4 linked regions of the Drosophila melanogaster genome follow. The protein of the gene in region 3 interacts with the protein of the main gene of each other region in a pairwise test. Each region holds a gene or a part of one and is shown on either strand. Other genes may lie near its edges. The genes, in order: Tsp74F, CG15083, Spt-I and CG1572.

Region 1 (6,105 bases), on a different chromosome or scaffold from region 3:
ACCTTCTCCATCAATTTATGGCTTGCGATGGGTAGTATTATAGGCTTAGTATACAGAAATCTGTTGTAGCTGTAAGTTCTTAGTAGAATAATTTTTAATAAAAGTTAATTAAAGAAAATACTTTTTTATTCAAATCTTTAAAGTCGCTTGAGTGCGAACTTATTTTCAGTTAAATAACATAAAAGTTGTTATATTATCTGATGATAATTCACTTTGTAAACACCTTCAGGTCACAGCGTGATCCATACTTTCCCTATTTTCCCGCTTCAAAAATGTGACTTAAGACAAAAAAAACCTAAAAATATGCAACAATATTGCATGTAGATTAAAGCTTCGATCAAAAACAGTTTAATACTTTAAACCGTTTTTTAAATACAAATTTTTACGTAACATGGACATATTTCATGGACCAGATCATTTTAAATATTTATCCTTTTTCGTTTTTTTTTTATACTCATATCACAACATATCGTTTAATGATAATTGGATTAAAAATAAAAAATATTAATATATATAAACATTTCCGAAGTATTTGGTTTTAACTAATTTTTATTGAAAACAACAATGGACAGACATCTAAATTCTCTATTAAGTATTGAAAAGCTCACTTAAAACTAGCAATTGTAATGGGTTGTTGATAACGGTGGCTTAAGAGGAAATTTACAAAACTTCACACAAATAATACAAATTTATGCAACAGATAATAACAATAGAATCCCTACTAAGTTCAATACTCACTAGTTATGCGTATCTAAACACGTATATACATACAATACAATACATAATACAAGCGGACAGTTGATCTGTGCAGATCTAACATTAGCATACACTCAGATAATACTCTTAATTTAACTCCAGCGAATTATGTTTAAAAATGTGTTTCTTCTGGACTGTGGACCTTGGTATCTGATTTTCCTGCGTGACCATGGGATTCCCCTCCTCGTTGGCGCTATTCGATCATATTGAATAGTAGACAGGAGAATATCATGCCAAAGATCTAAAAATAAACCAAATTCCAATTAATTATATATTATATAATAATTTTGCTACCGAAGAAAGGCGTTCACTTACCATCAGTATGGCCACCGCTATGGATGTACCTCCAATAACCGCCGCGTGATCCCTGATGAAGTTGGTCGTCACATAGAGGCATCCCTGGTTGTACAGATTCGTAATGGTCGGGAAGATTGTGCACTCCTTACGCTGTCCACCGAAAAGCTCCTGGCAACAGGACTCAGGCACTGGTCCGTACCTATTCCAGTCGTGCCACGTATCCACTCCGCAGCACTGTAGTCGCTCCTGGGTCAAATCCCAGGCCTGGGTGATCTCCCTCCTGCTTCCGTATAGTGCCATCGTGGAACGCATTTCCTATGGGATATTGGTAAGGGTTAATGTGCCACCCACGTGTTGTTATCGATGGATTTGCCTCACCTGCCGCATGGTCTGCTGAACTCGTTCGCGGAACACGTAACCCAAGACACCGCCAATTAGCATGGTCACGAAAACTAGGGCCACTATTATGAAATACTGCAAAGGGAAAACGAGTGGTTAATTTTTTAGCTAAATGGTGTTTGCATAATAGTAAAGAAGAGACTGACAACATTTAGAAGATTAAATCAAATAGATCATTTCTTTAGATGGTATCTTTGTAAATATGCAAATCCAGATATGATTACTCCAAAAAGGACAAAGTTAATTATTTAATAAAATGAAATTTTTGTTTTTATTGTTTGTTGTTTACTTACTGTTAGGAGGAGGCATTTGACTTCTTTTCCGGCACCAACACAACCCAAAAAGGACACCAGACAAATGATAATCGATGTAACCAGCAGGACGTAGACAGCACCCGAGAAAAGATTTGTACCGAGCAACTCATTGACGAAACTCCGATCCACCAGAGTCCACAGGGTGAGACAAAACACAATCGCTCCACCCACCTGGAAAATACATATATTTTGGTATTATTTATTTCTCTTAAATTGTTTTTTAATTCAAGCGACTCCTGGATACTCACGAATATCACAAAGTTGGCTATGAAAAGACTGTACTTGACGAACTGCCCGCAGCAGTCCATTCGCGAACTGAAGCCCATATCGTCTTCCTTTGAAAGGATAATACATTTCAATTAACCAATTCAATGGGATAAAAAGATTTCACATTGTTTACTTTTGTCTACAGGTGAAGAGCCCCCAGAGGATATTGATGCGAGGAGAATTATGCAGGGAATTTGGGGTAGGATGAGATGCAGAGGTTCTTGATGGCGATACAACTCTATAATCCAAAGACAGATAAAAATAATTTCACACTATGCTTTAATTAAGTTAAAGTTCTTAGAGATCATTCAATTTCAACAGGTCCTTAGCGATAACCAAGTTAATCATAACTCATCATCCCGATTTCAAATTAGCTATTTTTGGCCTACTCTCTATTGCAATGTGATGTAATCTCAAGAATGTACTTTTTAACGAGTTTCTTTCGCGTAAGATTCACTCCAACATATGGGCTGCCTATCAATGGTGTTCGGCTTGGCGAGTGGTGCGCATGCGCATGCGCATGCGCAGCTGTGGTTTCGGCCGAACGTTTCGCTCTTTCTAAGCCGGGTCCGAACCGCGAAGCGACCGAAGTACACTTAACCATGACCCACTTTATGGAACTGCGACTGAGCAGCGAAGCTGCCAACGCTATGTGCCTAGACAAGCGTTCATTATCGGCGGTGGCTGCCAACGTCTTGTGGATTTTGTCAGTTACGGCTCTAAAGACTCGCGTTTTTTTTTTTTTTTTTGGTTACTTACATCGCATTAGGCCCACTTGAAGGGTTCGCTGCGCGGCGATTCCGAGACGAATTCCCCCCGTTGAAGTTGGAGCGATCAAAACAAATAAATCAAAGTAATAGCCTGCCCGAAAATTTGTCAGCTAATTGTAGTGGTTTAACTACGAGTGCCGTCCCAGCTCTGAATCATCTTGGCGCAGTGCGATGTTCTAAATGCTAATTAAAAGTAATTGCAGGCTGAGCAGTCGGGTACCCCTTCACCCCACTAGCTGGTAAACGACATCTCATTTCGAGCATTATTCTCCAAATTCAAATATGTTAAGCCGCAGTCGAGTTCGCCAGGTAATTGGCGGGGCTATTAAAAAAATGTTCTCACACTATCTGAATATTCACTATATTTCATTCGACGTTATCATGTTAAGCGAATCCGAATCGTGCCTGAGATGACAGTAAGTCATCCGAAAGTCGCCATTAATGATGACGGGGCGTTGGCGGCGGGGCGAATCACTATATCTGCCGCTTGTAAGCTGAGACCAATTAAGTTTATGGTAATTGTTCAGCTGTACGTGCTACACATGGTAATAGATCACTTAAAGCTCGGATTCCAAGTCCTGTCACTCATGAAAAACTTAGAAAATCAGACTTTTTAAGTACTATCTACTAAACTCTGAGCTCACTCTTTTATGCTCCTTTCATACCCTGTTATCTATCTGTAATCATAGGAATAATAGCTTTACTAGGTCATTTATGTTTAAAACTCGTATGTAATCTTTATTTGTAGGTGATGTTAGCTTAAAAGTTAGTGAGCAGAATCGGTCGAGGCTATAAATATGAAATATGTACTCCTTGTTTATACTCGAAGCTTGAAAATATAGCAGTGAAAATAGGAAAGTGGTCGCATTTGAAGGACCTCTGTATGAAATTTATGATTAATTAAAACAAATGAAATATTATCTAATAAGCAAATTCACTTACAAGTTTGCCGTCCCGTAGCACAAACGAAGTTTTCGTTAGGTAACCAATTTTGGCGGTTTTCTTTCTCAGCTTTGTGTATGTAAATTGCCTTCAATTTGTTGTTTTGCAAAAACACAAAGCAAAACAAAAGAAACGGCTACTATTTTTAGTTGCACTTGAATGCACAGAAACTTTGGGAGTGGCTATAAAAAAAGAAGGAAATTATTTTAACCCTTTCAATTAACATTTTTGTGGTAAGAAGTAGAAGAGTTTTTAATTTCACTTTTATTTATAAACAACTTTTTGATGAAGACGCATTCATTCATTTTTTCGGTCGATTTTATTAACTTGTTTAAATTTTTGGTTCATTCTTCATTCAGATCACTTCATTCAGATCAAAAGAGATCGCAAAGTTTACATACGCATATAGCAATTTATGCAATATTCGTTAATATTTGCTCTCGAATTTTTATGAAACTTTTTTAATACAGGTTTCTTGCATTTGTTTTAAGCGTCACTCGCAGTTGATAATTGTTATTGAGTTTTTATTCGATTGCTGTTGCTGTTATTGTCAATTGCAGTTCTCCCATGGCAAACAACTTTTTTTTTGCCGCCTTGCTTTTAACATTTGCTTTTCAAGTTACGTCACGCTTGCCAAGGCAGCATTATCCTTAGCGGAGTTATCACTGTACTGTCGGGATATTTCGTGGGGATAAAACTATACGATTCACTTGATGGACCTAAGTCTCGCCTTACAGGGATTGAGTGGATCCGGGGAGCTATGATACTATGGTTTTATATGTGGGACAGGGACGACTCTACCGCCCGAGAGCTCGCTTGGAACTGGTTGTGGGAACAGTCGGGGCGATCGGTTTTTTATTAGTTTCGCTCACAAAGAGCTTCGTTGTTGGGCTTTTTCTGGTCTCGGTCTCTCGACATTACAACAACTTCGACTTGAGCCCCTGTTTTCGAAGGCTTAGCACTGCAGGTGCGAGAGAGATGGGAGTCTCTACTCGCTTACAAACCGCAAATACTTCTCTGAATGTTTTCGTGCTTCTCTCTTATTTATTCATCTATTTTTCGGCTTCTTTTACCCACACTTCCCTTTGCGGAGTCGGCATGTGAAAATGCGTTGAGCAAACAAAATATGATCCGTCGTCCACAGCCAGCACCTTTGTTTCATTTCGGGCAATTGCAAAATATAAATATTGATAAGCAAACGAAATTTGATATTTGTTTTAGTTCTCGGTCTGCACATGGCAATGTCCGCATAATTGATTTTGGAGGCAAATCTATCCGAATTGGTTACCGTTTTGTTATAACAGTTTAAGTTTAAATACTTTTTGAACAAGGATTATTTGTAATGATTGTTTTCTTTCTTCAGTTGGATCATTTGCATCTATTTGCAACCATATTTATATTCAATATACGAGTGTTGATCAGACAACTTGATAAAGCCAAGTTTGTCAGTCCGTTCCTTTCTTACGCATTCTAGAATCATAGTTTTAAAGCTTGGAACTTTTCTAAAAATCTTCTTTTTATTGCTCGTAGTATGTGAATTTGTCTTCTGTATCATGTATGTATAAATATCGAAATTTAATTGAAAATATTAGAAAAGAAATCAAACATTGGCGAGGCTATCTTTCTTTCTTGATTTCAAGGGCTTAGTGTTCCAAGAGAGCACAAGGAAAATATGCTTATTATCCGTGTTTCATGTTACTTTTGCTGGTCGAACTCAATTGCTGTGCCGAAGGACAACCTTTGGCAATTAACAGCTTAATTTTCTTGTTAGTCGAACAAATAGTTTTGGCTGAGTTGAGTAATTTTTTAAGCAGTTTCCAAGCTAAGGTCAGAAAGTTGGCTGCCGATAGACGAATAGCTCACCCTCCCTACTTACACTCCACAGCACGGTTGAAAAGCGCTCAAATTGTTGGCTTGTTTAGCACTTTTATGGCCGTGTTAACAACAACCACCCGCCATGTCCCCGTAATCACCGACCAATGTGTTAGTTGCATGGCGAAAATAAAAATAAATCATAAAAAAAAGAAAAACAATTACTCTGCCTGTTGATTTTGCATCTTATAAACTCGCTGTGGGAACCTTTTGCGTTTTATAGATGCCATAAAATCCATTTCCACACACTCGTCCCACAGGCGCCTCATGATAAAATATTGCTCAGAAATCGAAGTTTGCGACTAGTGCTCAGTTATTCTTGCTCAAGTGGCCAAGAATCATTAATATTATGGGGAATTCTTAATTTTAAGCCAGTCAATTTCGCCTATGAACCTATACTTACTGAGATCCGATTAGTGTGAGCGAGTTGAAAGCCTCGTTGAGCTCGGCGAAGGTGACAAGCGTCAGAAGCGTTAAATTGTGGCACT
Region 2 (3,718 bases), 5.7 Mb from region 3:
TGGAAAAGCTGCCCAGCATAACCACGCCGAGATGAAAACCGGCTGTTGCCCAACGGCAGACGCAGTCGCAGATCCAAGCGAGTGGGTCACACTTCGAGCTCAAGCTGAACCTGAACCTAGGTATGGAGTCTGCCATGGAGTCGGGCAGTACTGGCCAGGCTGTGCGAATACTGGCGGCCGTGCAGGCTAAGCTAACTACCCAAAATGCCGAGACGAGCTTTACGCAGTCGCAAAACATCAATAACAGCAGCAACAATAAGATGACCAACTTTCCATTTTATGTCTAAGTAAGCAGATTGGAGCAGAAGACGATGCCGAGTATGATAGCTAGCTATATAGATAGAGAACTGTGTCGAGAGTATATAATTGTCCGTAGTGTGATCGATCGTTTTAAATGTTGAATGTTTAAGAACGCGGTAGCCCAATAGCCAATAGCACCCTGTATGTATATGTATGTAACCAATGTATTTAACTGTTGATAGTTGATCCCAAGTCGATGTGAGTAAGAGATGTGCGTTAACGACAAACTGCAATCAAATAAAAAACAAAGCATTTTATTGCAAACACTGAGATGAACGAACGGTGGGCTCTTCCCCGACAATTTATGTAGTGTAGAATGATAAGGACTAAACCACATTCATGGCGCGCGGTGTTTGTTTGCTGGCTTCGCTGTTTTTCAGCTGGAGGTAGAAGGAGTACACAATTCGTGCGCTGAAGAGGATCAATACTGAAAGTGTAGCGGAGAATATGTATGATCTGTACATTTTTGTTAACTCAATTTGATGTTCATAGCCGATACTTACGAAATGTGATGATGTAAACGAGCAGGGCACCGAAAACGTTGTTCATTCCGGTAGCCTCGCGATATCCTCCGTAGTGGAAGATAACCCCGAAGACGGCAAACGGAAAGGAGATGGCTTCAATGGCAGCGAAGATCAGCCAGACGAACACCAGAATTGGCTTTTCCTGCAATTCGGAAAGGTAGATTGGGTTTCGTTGACTCAATAAAACGGAATGGGTTGTATTTTATTTACCTTCAGGGTTCCTATCAATAAGCAAATATTGGCGACTACTACGATGGCAAATCCAATAAAGGTAAGAACTGCAAGGATTCAAGTGAATTTAAATAGAAATTATTGAACGTACATATTTCATTCATAAAAAAAGCCGTTACAATTAGTGGAAAGTAAACATAAACTTGGGCTTATAAGTGACTCAATGTATTCCAAGCAAAACGTTGCTGTGCTCTTATCTTTCTTCCCGTCTGAAATTTGAGAACACGACTGCTAAATGTATCTTCGTATATAATGAGTACATATTGATGCACTGATGCACTTCATGTACATGTGTACATATACATAAAGAACTAAAACATAAATTCTTCTTTTATATTTTAAACACATTTCATACATGAAATATGACAAACTTTTTAAAACAGCTTAGAATAAGGTTTATAGAACTTCTTTGAGACATGGACAAATGCAGGGCTTTAAGTGTTTTTATGACATATGGCGTTCAACTGTTAAAACCCAATAATCTTTTAAGTTTAATTCTGCGCCATGCACAGCCCAAGGAAATTATTTAATTTTCTTTTTTGTGCTGGAAAATTCAAGCCTGTGAGAAAATGGCATTTCGGGCCACCTAAAATGAATTGTCAGCTCGAATTTGTCGGCGATGTCGTCATCGATGGTGAGGTGTTGTATCCAAAATGGTTGTGAATTGGAACGCGTTTGTGTCGAATGGATTAGCTCATTCGTTTATTTCGCATGTGAACATCATGAATGTATTGTCTCTCTATGGAAATAGCGTCAGTCTGGGCAATCAGCTTCTGAAAATAAACAAATGCCACGCCTCTCGCATTTCTCCTACCGTTTGGAGCGAATATAACGTTGAAAGTCATGCTCAATAGCCAATAGATCGCGATTCCCAGGCACCAGCTCCGCAAATCGGTATTGCACGGGCCATTTTCCACCGTCAGATCGATTTTCATTTTGAAACTCTGTGGTTTACAGCGAATTTTCCAAATACAAATATGGCTAGTATGGCACTTAAACCGGTTTGGGAACACCTAGCGCACGGAAACACAACCGCACTGGGCAAGAATCAAATAATAAGTGTGGCGCAAATGCCGATGCCGCTCAGAAGAAACGGTTGCGTAAACTATGCAACACGAAAATACTTTTTTTTCGAGCGTGGAAAAACTACGTCTGATATGTTCTTAAAAAATATATGTGCACTCATTTACTATATGAATTTGTTTGCATATGTTTCGTCATTTAAGAGTGAAATGAATAAAATGGGGAATTGTCTTTAAAATAATAGAGAGATTTAATGCTGTATTATATATGTAATGTAGCTACTATTAGCACCTTGAAAAATATTATGAAAGTAAGCCGCTGCTGTGCAGTGTTAATGAATACATAAATAAATATTTTTTAACTATCATGCCAAATAATAAATGCATAAAAATATTTAAAATATAAAAATGTTATTAAAAGAATTTTAAACAATTAGCGTTAAAAAGTCACATTAAAAGCTGGTGAACAAGTCACAGTTTCGACACCAACTGCTTGAACCAGTCTGGCAACGCCGCTGTACCCAAAAGCTTTTAATTGTCAGCCAATTGCGACTTATCAAGCAATTGCAATTTTGCTGCGCCGGCGAACTGAAGTAAAATTGTCTTTATCTTCGCATTAGCACGAAATCAAGTGAATCCAGAATGCTGTCCAGGGTCTTCTGTATGCGCCTGAACACCTATGGTGTGGTCATTGGATGGCTGGGCGTGATTCTATCCTTCTTGGCCACGATCCTCTTGTCCTTGGCCCTCGGATTCGTCGATGAAATTGCGCAGCAGATCGCCAAGGGATCGGAAGATTCTAACAAGACGGCCACCGAGATTCGCAGTGGTAAGGGCTAACCATCGAGTGCACCCACAACCAATCGTATATTTTTTATTGTATTTCATTGTTCTTGCGGTTATTGCAGTGCTAATCATCGTTTTCAGTGTTTACCTGGCGCTCAAGGTGATTAATCTTCTGGCTTCGGCCATGTTGGTTGCAGGTACCGTTAAGGTAAGTCTAGTATCAATATGCAATCTGTACAATCGCGTATATATGTGTCTACTATAGTACATATCTAGAGTTAGACCTTTTTAAAAGCCCACTATTCTGTAAAAAAAACCGGCAAGTTTCTTTGCAAATACATATGTACATACACCATACTAACTAGAGATAGAGATGGTTCTAATAGCGTTTGCCTTTCAGGAACGCCATTTACTCCTGCTGCCCTGGCTGATCAACAATGGAGTGCTGCTTGTCTTTGGAATTATCACCAATATTGCAATGCTGGCCCAGATCATCGGAAATACATCTTTCCTGAGCGCTCTTCCAATCATTTTCGTGGATGTTGGCCTGCTCTGTAAGTGACTCACCACTTCATACATACATAAGCTCTATCTGGAAATGGGTATACACAATACACACTGGCCGTTGTTGCGAAATTGTGGATCCCCATTGCGCTTATCGCTCGACGGTCTGCGATCGTTCTATAATTGCGCTTGGGCACGATGCTTATTTTTCTCCATTCGCTCGTTTTCAGTGCTGACCTGGTATCTCTACTACGGCATCTACTCGCTCTTCAAGCAGATCCAGGCATCCCGTGAGATCCAGCGCCCGCTGATCCCACAGCCGACCCAGCAGACCAACTCCTATCCCAGCTA
Region 3 (4,395 bases):
TTTGTCGCCAAATGTTGCGTATTCGCACTGATAGCACCGCACCCAAGTTCATAGTACGTATACGCTCAATTGGCGCTGATTGCCGGCTGGCATATCGGCATCGAAATCAGAGCGCTATGTGCACAACATCATGATTTGGGGTCGTCGTTGTCAAGTTCATCAGTGAATCGAATGCACAAACATGGGTTTGAAAGTCGAAGGGTTATGATTATTGCTCACAGATTAGGTCGCCACTCGGAAACAGCTCTGCTCCACTGGCAATCAAATCGTTTCAAAGCATTTCCATTCCATCTGGCTTATTCCACATATTAGTTATTATTAAGCGTGTGATGTGTATCTTAATTGTCATGCAAGAAAAACATAAATAAATAATGAATGTTTCTTTGTGGAAGTTGTTCTTGTAAATTTTACAACAAATGCCACATAATATTACCCTTATCTTTATCGGGATATTCAAAAACGTTTGCGATTGCGCAGGCGATAAGAAACACCAATAAAAGGGCACGTAACTACCAAATAAACTTAATAGTTTTATTTAACCAGCTCTGTTATCTATAACGTGTAATCTTTGAAAGTTTTCCTAGACTTAAAATTTTTCATTAAAATGCAATGCAACAAAGTGCAAAGAGCAAGTGCAAGGCTAGCTATTAACTTAAACAATTCATACTGGACTGGTCGTGAAGAAGTGATGAAAAAATGATGGGGCCAGCAGGCCTTAAAACTTAACAGCAAGGCCATTGTCGAAAGAAGATCATTCCTTTCCAACAACAAGGCTTATAGGACGGAGCTGGAAACACTCTCGATGACCTCAAACGCATTGTCTATTTCCGAACTCTCCAGCAAACGGTTGACAGCAATGCGAATGCTGGGACGGACTGGTTGGCGTTCCCTGTTCTGCAGGTAGGCAGCCTGTACCACAGCCACTCCACGAGCAATGCACTGGGAAAAGTGAGTAGAAATGTATAGTTTTCATAATTGCATGGGGAAATAAAATGCCTACCTTATCAGCCAGCTCTGTTAGAAGTTTCAGTTCCTTGTCAAAGTTCTCGGCGGGCTGGGCAAGATACAAGTGCTTCACTGGTGACACCTCATCGCCGCGCAGGGTTAGCTTGCTGAATCGCAAAAACTTCTGGTGCAACGTCTTAGACTTTGCCTGCAGCTGCTCGAAGATTTGTGGTTCTCGTTCGAAACGATCCAACGCTGAAATAGCCGCCTGGGTGAGCATGGGCGGCAGCGAGGCCGAGAAGATGTAGCCCAAGCCAGAGAGGCGCTGGTGCTCGGCTATGAAGTGCGAGCCAACACAGAAGCCACCGACTGTTGCCATCGAACCCTCCATGCCGGCCGATATCAGATCGACTTCATCACGCTAAAAGAAAAATACCAGTTATAATTTTAGTTTTTCTTTCCGGTTTACCACCTACATCGACATTAAAGTGCTCCGTAACTCCGTGACCACCCTGGCCCAATGTGCCAAAGGAGATGCTTTCGTCGATGAACAAACGCAGCTTGTACTTCTGACGCAAGGCCACCAGGTCGGGAAGTGGGCAAATCTCGCCCGTATTCATATAGATACCCTCGGCGACGAGGAAGCGACGTGTCTTAGCCGCCTTTTTCGGATTTTTCTGGTCTCGTTTTTCTTGCTCAATCAGCAGACGTTCTAGATCCTCAACGTCATTGTGCTTAAAGAAAACGATTGTGCTTCGTGAAGCATCCAGACCCTTCTGAATGGCAAAGTTGACAGCCTCATCCCTACAAATAACAAGTAATTAGTCGCCAATCTGAGTAGGTGAAGTAGACAATCCTACACAAAGATAAGGTCGCCACGTTTGGCATACGCCGGAATGGCACTGGCCACGGTCGAGAAGCCGTAGGAATAGACAATGGCCTCCTCCAGGCCCATGAACTTGGCAATACGATCCTCCAGGTCCAGATGCACGTCCATAGTGCCGTAGAAGCCCCGAGGTCCGCAAGATCCAACTCCGTACTTGCGCAGCGACTTGCAGGCCTCCTCCAGTATCTCCTGGTCCTCGAGGAAGCCAAGATAGTTGTGAGAGCCAAGATTTAGGCAGTCGTGTCCATCGACCTGGATGCGCTTGCCCACCCTGGACTGCACAACGCGGGTGTGCAGCAGGGGATGATTGGGATCGGTGTCGGCCACCAAGGGCTCTGGTTCATAGTCGGCGATTATTCGGTCTTCCTCCTCCTTGGTCAGCTGTCGGCGACGACCTCCTCCTCGTCTGTGGAGCAGCAACCAAATCACGGTTATGAGCAGTAGGGTCTCCAAGACGAGAGCAAACGTGGGGGTCTGTGGAAGGAGTAGAAACTGGAGTAAGCTAAATGTGGTGAAAAAGGCGAATGCAAACTTACGTTTCGGAAAATACTGCCGATTTCGTTGAACAATTGGATGGCCACCATTTTGACAGTCTGGTTCCGTGCCCTTTCTGTGAAAAATCAATTGAAACCGCCTTAATTCCCTGAAGTTATGTGTCATCTAGCCGACGCTTTCTTATCGCGGGTATGCCCCATACATATGTAGAATTGAAGCATTCGACCATACGGTACGGAAATCTTTTCAATTGGGTGTGTATGCTGACATAGGCTAATTGCCAGTGGGCGAAAAATGTGCAACCACGCCCTTCTCCAACATTCTCTTACATTAAATATCCATTTAAATCGAGCACTCACCACAAAACTCAGTTAACTATAGGCAAAATGCGTGAAATATCCGCCGAAACAGATGGATGAACGAATGTACTAAAAAATACCAATACGCGGATATCTTTAAGATGTGCGCCAAATTGGCGGCGATGGAGGAACAGTGGAATATGGAACTAGGGGACGTTTTTATTTATTTTTTGTTATTCAAAAACCTGGTCCTGTCGACCTGTCCCGCCCACCTGCCCCACCGACCTGTCCCGCCGATCTGACCCACCGACCTGTTCCGCTGACGTGTCCCACTGACCTGTCCCACCGAGCTGACTCGCTAACAACAAAATACAACAAGTTACAACAGATTTTAAATTTTTATTAAAAATTACCTAGATTTTATCAATATTTTTATGATACTGAACTCAAATAAACTTGCTACGTAACGGTTCTTTTCTAGTTATCATTTCAAATATATGATCGATTACTATTTTATATCGATAGGCAGAGCAGCGATCGCAGTGTGACCGTGCGGTGGGAAATAACGAAATCGAATTCAATTCAAACCGCCGATCCATTCAGTTTCCATTGAACTGCTGCTGCGATCGGTCAACCGATGTGAATGAGCCGCGTTACTGGCGCCATCTGAAATTCGAGTTCGCGAGATAAAAACCGCGAGAAGACAAAGAACACCGCAAAAAGCCGATGTAAACAAAGAGATATAGTTAGTTCTGCATTTTGCAAGAAAACTTTATCACATTACACGCGAATCGAAACGGATACTTGTATGTGCACAAAGTGAAATCAGCTGGACAACAAGAGTATTTTGCAATTGCCTTGGTTTATTTTCAGCCACTTGCGGCTGTCGTTTTCTGTGAAATTAACACTTTTTTCTATTGGCAGTGATGGGAAGTGTATATTTGGGTGTACCTGGCTGGTAGTCTAGATACAACAATTTACGCTATGTGTCGCGATCTAGTCTAGGTACAAGTATTCACTCTTCCTTGCAAATGTCCTTGTTTTAATATATAGTAAATTCTATTGCATTTCATATAATTATTTACTATTTACCTATATCACTATTCAATTAGACCCAAGGAAATACTTCTTTCAAAGTCACGATTGTATTTAAAATATACATAATCATTTTTATCAAGTTCCATTTCGTCTTAAATTACAATATTATTAAATAATTGCCAACTGATACTGATGAACTATACTATGTAGCTACCAATCAAAGTACCTTTCACATCACTATCTATCAATCAAATAGTTATAGTTAGCATTGCCCATGCGATAATGGCAAACCGAAATAGCGCAAAGAAAAGCCACTTCCTATTTCTCTTGAACTTGATGCGCTCGAATGAAGCTACCATGTCTACACCATGCCCACTTTCGCAGATAAATCGAGCAATGCACCCGACTAACTCCATGACACAATTGATGCATCCCAGCGCAGTATTTCCTCGATTAGGTATTTTCGCTTTTACCCGCTTTTTGCAATGCGCAATAAGTATCTCTTGGTGTGTGCGAAAATCGGTGGAGCAACCAGTTTTCGAGCTGCATTTTGACGTTGGCTTTTCTTTTACGTAACTCGCTGGCCGGGCACGAGCCAAAAACCAAAATAAATATCAATAATAAACACGGCGCCGCGCCAACCCAGTTAGTGGTTTTCACTTCACTTCACCTCACATCACATCACTTTACTTCTTCTTCTTTGCGGGACCTACCAATTCGGTCCGGCTTGCT
Region 4 (5,801 bases), on a different chromosome or scaffold from region 3:
GTGCACTCTCTATCGCCCTCACCCACTTTTCTCACTCTCCACTTTCAGGTGGCGCTGAGTCAGAGAAAAAGTCCGAGGAGCTTCCACTAGCAAGTTTAATTCCTTTCTTTTTAATTGCCAATCCGTGGGCGGCCAATGAACAGTGTCAAGGGGGCGTGGCCGGGGGCCTAGTTGCACTTGAAGATTACAAATATTAAGGTTGGCCGCTCCGCTGCTTGGCTGCTCTGCCGCTCACTCGATGACATCATGACGTCAGGCGTCATTTATACCGCGCTAGCCAGCAGTCAAGTCAACTTGTTGGCGTTGTTGGCTGAATTGCCTTGCTGATACCCTGGATGAAAACGCATCCGGGTGGCATAGACCAGTCATTATTTCCAATGTTGTGGCCAAAAAACTAAATATTTTCTTCCTTTAAATCTGAAAACCGTCTTTTGGCCAAAAATACGATTTATGCAAAGGGTGTTTTTATCATAACTTGTCTAAAAATGGTCATAAACGCATAGGAATGACTGTTTTGTGCAGCTAATAACCCCTACTAACTATCCCTATCACTTTTTGATGGATTTTGAAAAATTAATTTTTGGGTCGATTTTTGCATATTCGGTATTCATCAAAATTTGCGAAAAATGGCAAAAAATTAAAAATCCAAATTTTAAACACAGTTTGATTAGAATTTTGAATACGAACTCAACGAGGTATGACAATCCATATTTGGATCATTATTTCCAATGTTGTGGCCAAAAAACTAAATATTTTCTTCCTTTAAATCTGGAAAACGTCTTTTGGCCAAAAATACGATATGTACAAAGGGTGTTTTCTTATAACTTATCTAAAAATGGTCATATAAGTACAAGAATGACTGTTTTGTGCAGCTAAAAACCACTACTAACTATCCCTATCACTTTTTGACGGATTTTGAAAAATTAATTTTTGGGTCGATTTTCGCATTTTCGGTAAGGGGTAACATCATCAAAATTTGCGAAAAATGGCAAAAAATTAAAAATCCAAATTTTAAACACAGTTTGATTAGAATTTTGAATACGAACTCAACGAGGTATGACAATCCATATTTGGATCATTATTTCCAATGTTGTGGCCAAAAAACTAAATATTTTCTTCCTTTAAATCTGGAAAACGACTTTCGGCCAAAAATACGATTTAAATAAAGCGTGTTTTTATCATAACTTGTCTAAAAATGGTCATAAAAGTGCAGGAATGACTGTTTTGTGCAGCTAATTACCACTACTAACTATCTCTATCACTTTTTGATGGATTTTGAAAAATTAATTTTTGGGTCGATTTTCGCATTTTTGGTAAGGGGTAACATCATCAAAATTTGCGAAAAATGGCATAAAATTAATATTCCAAATTTTAAACACAGTTTGAGTAGAATTTTGAATACGAACTCAACGAGGTATAACAATCCATATTTGGACCATTATTTCGCATTTTTTGGCCCAAAAAGCGACATATTTAAAAAATTGCAATGCATGTTTTGTACTACCAACCTAATTCGCTTGTGAAGTGTTCTAAGTGATGCAGGGTATCCCCCAAGTCGAGTCGCAGTAAATCGGCCTGGAAGGCTTCTGCTGGGTCTTGTTTTGTTTTCGTCTCGGCTGCGTCGACTGCGACGCTGAAAACTGTGGCAGAGGCAGCGGGCCAAACGCTTTTATTTTTCAGTTTCGGTTTCAGTTTCGTTTGCAACGTGCGCGCGAAAAGACGCAAAAGTCGAAAGAAAAGTGCGAGGAAAACCAGTTGGCTGAGTCCTACGCCGAATTTTGAGAAAAGTAAGAGTAAGATCCATACCGAAAACTTTAGATATACAGAGAGAGAAAGAGGTACATACCACCCATTTCTACCGCTGGGACTATATGTGTGTTTTATTGTTTTTTTTTTTTTTTTATATATTTTTTTTGTACATTTCGAAAAGCAAAAGGAATTGGAATTCTCGGTACTTGGCTGTGCATTAATATGTTGTTAATTTTTTTTCTCCTACAAGCATTAAACTGCATTATTATTGACGGCGATGATATCATTTCCAGAGTTGAAAATGCGAAACCGAATGTGAGTCGCGTTTGCAGTGGGGAAATATTCTTATCAGCAGAACATTTGATAGCTTGCCTTTTGGTACATATGTATATTGATTAGTTGTTGTCATTTGGGAAATTGACAAAAGCGGCGTCTTTGTTCATCTCTTCCGGTTCCAAAGAGGAATCTTAAAGGGCCCAAAACAACAACCTGTTGCTTGGGCCAAGTTGCTTGGCATGCGAATTAAACTATCGTACATCATAGGCATGATATCATACCGCTTTTCGGCGGAAATCCGCCATCTAATCAATATTCGGAATGTATTTTGTTTAATTCCGATAAAATGTCGCACATGGGTTCTTGTTATTTTGGTTTTTGCTTTGTTTTGTTTTCTTATTATTATTTTTTTTTTTGGTTTTCGGTTTTTGGTTTCGGTATTACGCTTCGGAATTTGGGCCGCACCCCTTCCATGCCACTGGGATATACATATGTATATATGTATGTGTATGTATGTGCCTCTACCACTTTTGTGAATTTCGATGAGCATCATTCACATTGTGTGTAAACTATTGCGTCACCGGTGGCGTCATCGTTTTTGAACTCGTCTAATGCGCCACCGATTTTGAGGAAGGTCTAAGTTCTGAAATCCAACCCCATTCCAATTGCCATCAATCTTGTATGAGCACATTTCCTAAAACAATATAATTCGTTGGTATTTTCTAAATTGATCTCTTCCTTGCTTAGTTAAAATATCAAGAATATAAAATTAGTTACGATTTTCAACTCCTCTGTATGGGTCTTACAAGGCTTTTATTTAACTCATGTTTGTTTTAAGCCAAATATAGCAAATATAGCTATAGCAGAGCAGTTAATTTGGAATTAATCTCACTATCCTTCCGTTTGTTATTTGTTTTAAGCTAAACTGGTTTTATTTGTTTGCCTACAATGTTATTCGGCTTGATTACCAATCGTCAAATCTGAAGTCAGAACTTATAGTCACAATCTGATTTCCAGATCTGGCACGGCATTTGCGAATACCCTATAACCATTATGCCCACCCACGGCATCTGTATACTTAAAGTGTGTGTGTGTGTGTGTGTGTGTCCCAATTACGAACGAGGCGCTTTTCTTCAGTTTTCCTTCAGCTTTTCCACAACGAACAGCAGGCAGCAGACCATAAAGTTCATGACGTTTATGCATACATATCTACATACATTCATATATGTACATACATACAGACTTACATATATCCAATCCTAGGTGAACATATAGACGAGAGCGATTCATCTATTTTGTTCGCTGCCGATCCCCAAAAAGGGGGGAAATCGTTGCGCGGGGGGAGAGGAGTGGTTCTGTATGGGGCGGGGGGGTTTTCTCTCGTCGGTCAAGTAAATAGATTTTTCCGATTCTCCCACTGCTTCAATAACGCATTTGGCGCTTTTTCGCCTGCGAGGCCGGCATTGAAAATTGTTTTAAAATTAGACAAAAAGCAAAAATCCAAAACAAAAACAGCAACAAATGGATGGCCAAAAATACACAAACATTGTATGGATACATTGCAGATCGATGGGCGTGGCAAGGGCGTTCGATCTGTAACAGCTGGCCAAAAAGTACAAAAGATACAAAAAAAAAAAGCAATAAATAAATAAAAACACACCATATGAATTACGATATTCGGGGAATATAAGTGAAAGAAAAAGAACCTAAGACTTACTCATTTTAATCAAATAATTAAACCATAAATTAACACATGGATGCAAATATACTTTGCATGAATCACCAGCAAATTTGTTGGCTTATTTCAACGAATTTTAAGCATTTACAATTTGATAAGTATTATTATTTAATTTCAGTTCTTATCACCGAAGTTTCTTATATTTCTGTATTGGTATTAGCATCCAATATTTTACTTTTTTTTTGTGTTTATTCATTTATTTATTTGTCTTTGCAGACCCCACCTTTAACCCCCCGAAAAGAACCACCGAAGCAGAGCGAAGATGTCGCATTCAGTGACCATTACCCGCACCACCACCAGCACCACCAACACCTCCTACATTGTCCTGAACACGGGCTATCTGAAGACTTTCCCCGGCATCCTCAAGCTCTTCGAGCTGGTGCGTTAATGCTCCCAGAATTCGATAGCAACTTTGAACTTAATGTAACAACCATCACGATTTTTTGCGCAGATCATTGGTGCTTCCATTGTGGGAATTCTGGCGTTCAACTACCAGGACTACCACAGATACTTCTATGGCCAGCAGGATCTGTTCCATTATCTGATGGCCGTTACCTTTATGATAGGAACGTTCTGTTTACTCCTCGCCTGCCTCACGTCGCTCAGCACGGGCGGCATTATTGCCAAGACGATCTATGTGAGTATAATCATCATTGCTATATCTTTTGTATACTTTAGTATTAGCCATGGAACTCCAAACGTACATATATATACTTCGCCTTGTATCTGCAATCCGTGCATTTCAACGACCATTAACCTTTTTGCAGGAGCTGATTTACCACAGTGTGGCCGCCATCCTGATCCTGGTCTCGTCCACCATCCTGCTGCTCAAGCTGCGCGATGTAAAGCACGACGCCTATATGGCAGCCGGTGTTTTGGGCCTGGTCAATGCGGTGCTGTACTTCATCAGCGCCTTCCTGGCCCACCGATCCTATCGCGGCATTTAAGCACTAAAGCACCCAAAACCCACCGCCCACTCGGCCATTCAAGTGGAATTTGCAATCTCGAAGCATTTGTTCTTCCCACAACCAACTCTAGCCACTGGTCATGCGAAGCAGGAGAAGGAGGCGAGAGCCCAGGGATATACAAACATAGATGTAGAGAAAGTGGGTGCCAAGCGGCGGAATCTTTGTTGTACTGTGAAACGTTCTTTGGCGCTAGTTACACTTACTTGTACTTTTACCGATATATACAAAACTTTTTTTTTGTCTCACTTTCTTTTGTACCAAACAGATTGTCATGTATTCGAATAAAGATGTGTGTCTATATGTTTTTTCTAAATGTGTAGTAGTTTGTTTATTTGTTGCTTCAGCTGCAATAGTTTTTTATTGTCGGCATGCTTTAATTGTGTTGGCCAGTGTACTTTGTACTTTTTGATTTTGAACCGATCGTAAAAAGTGTTGCATACTTTTGGGCCATGCGGGAAATGTTGCTGTTAGCAAGCAAATATATAAATTCGATGAAATCATAATTTCATTTAATTTAATACCAAAGAGTAATAGAAAAAACGTGGTGGTAATTTTTATGGTTTTTATTGAATATATTTTAAATTAGTTATCTATAAAATAATTACTATATAATATAATATATAATAGAATTTGCATCTTTGTTTGTCTTCTCATAGAAATAGATTCTCTAAACACAAAAAATCAATTGAAATTACTAATTACTAATAATAATTAAAACACACTTCTCGCTCCCTCTGGCGCAGTTTTTATTATCTGTTGATGGGCATAAAGCCCTCGCCTTTAACTACTAATTTACATATACAGTAAACACAAATAAGTGGTTTAGGTGTATTAAAAAAAAAAATCATAGTAATTAAGAGAAGTACACGCAAGTATTAAATATAAAAGAAAAGGGTAATCGATTACGATAAATTAAGCATTTTTCTTTAACAATTAACTGACCCTCCTTCGATCGCCGACCACACAAACGTTTCGCCTAATAAATACAACTCGTATATCAAGCATTAAGATATGATTATCGAAAAAAAAAAGAATTACATTTAATTATATTCGCTGCTGGCTGCATTTTG

What was found.
Region 1: the proteins of Spt-I (region 3) and Tsp74F interact in a two-hybrid assay, tested with the Drosophila melanogaster proteins (one large-scale study listed by BioGRID).
Region 2: the proteins of Spt-I (region 3) and CG15083 interact in a two-hybrid assay, tested with the Drosophila melanogaster proteins (one large-scale study listed by BioGRID).
Region 4: the proteins of Spt-I (region 3) and CG1572 interact in a two-hybrid assay, tested with the Drosophila melanogaster proteins (one large-scale study listed by BioGRID).

The regions. Positions count from the first base shown.
Region 1 is NT_037436.4:17,891,286-17,897,390, forward strand, and holds Tsp74F (tetraspanin 74F), read right to left. Parts: upstream 4,578-6,105; 5' UTR 4,481-4,577; intron 3,928-4,480; 5' UTR 3,746-3,927; intron 2,272-3,745; exon of another isoform or gene 2,167-2,271; intron 2,102-2,166; 5' UTR 2,093-2,101; coding exon 2,015-2,092; intron 1,938-2,014; coding exon 1,746-1,937; intron 1,528-1,745; coding exon 1,432-1,527; intron 1,369-1,431; coding exon 1,072-1,368; intron 998-1,071; coding exon 950-997; 3' UTR 535-949; downstream 1-534. Other genes in the region: CG7402 (uncharacterized protein), read left to right, coding at 1-69.
Region 2 is NT_033778.4:18,833,664-18,837,381, reverse strand, and holds CG15083 (uncharacterized protein), read right to left. Parts: upstream 2,120-3,718; 5' UTR 1,991-2,119; coding exon 1,870-1,990; intron 1,103-1,869; coding exon 1,035-1,102; intron 967-1,034; coding exon 804-966; intron 728-803; coding exon 627-727; 3' UTR 540-626; downstream 1-539. Other genes in the region: CG15099 (uncharacterized protein), read left to right, coding at 1-35; CG15098 (uncharacterized protein), read left to right, coding at 2,720-2,906, 2,986-3,071, 3,264-3,417, 3,598-3,718.
Region 3 is NT_033778.4:13,166,861-13,171,255, reverse strand, and holds Spt-I (serine palmitoyltransferase subunit I), read right to left. Parts: upstream 2,759-4,395; 5' UTR 2,686-2,758; exon of another isoform or gene 2,442-2,685; 5' UTR 2,416-2,441; coding exon 2,368-2,415; exon of another isoform or gene 2,306-2,367; coding exon 1,806-2,305; exon of another isoform or gene 1,750-1,805; coding exon 1,422-1,749; exon of another isoform or gene 1,367-1,421; coding exon 1,001-1,366; intron 949-1,000; exon of another isoform or gene 940-948; coding exon 775-939; 3' UTR 512-774; downstream 1-511.
Region 4 is NC_004354.4:11,554,525-11,560,325, reverse strand, and holds CG1572 (uncharacterized protein), read left to right. Parts: upstream 1-1,688; 5' UTR 1,689-1,838; intron 1,839-3,887; exon of another isoform or gene 3,888-3,916; intron 3,917-3,979; 5' UTR 3,980-4,025; coding exon 4,026-4,142; intron 4,143-4,214; coding exon 4,215-4,400; intron 4,401-4,530; coding exon 4,531-4,710; 3' UTR 4,711-5,276; downstream 5,277-5,801.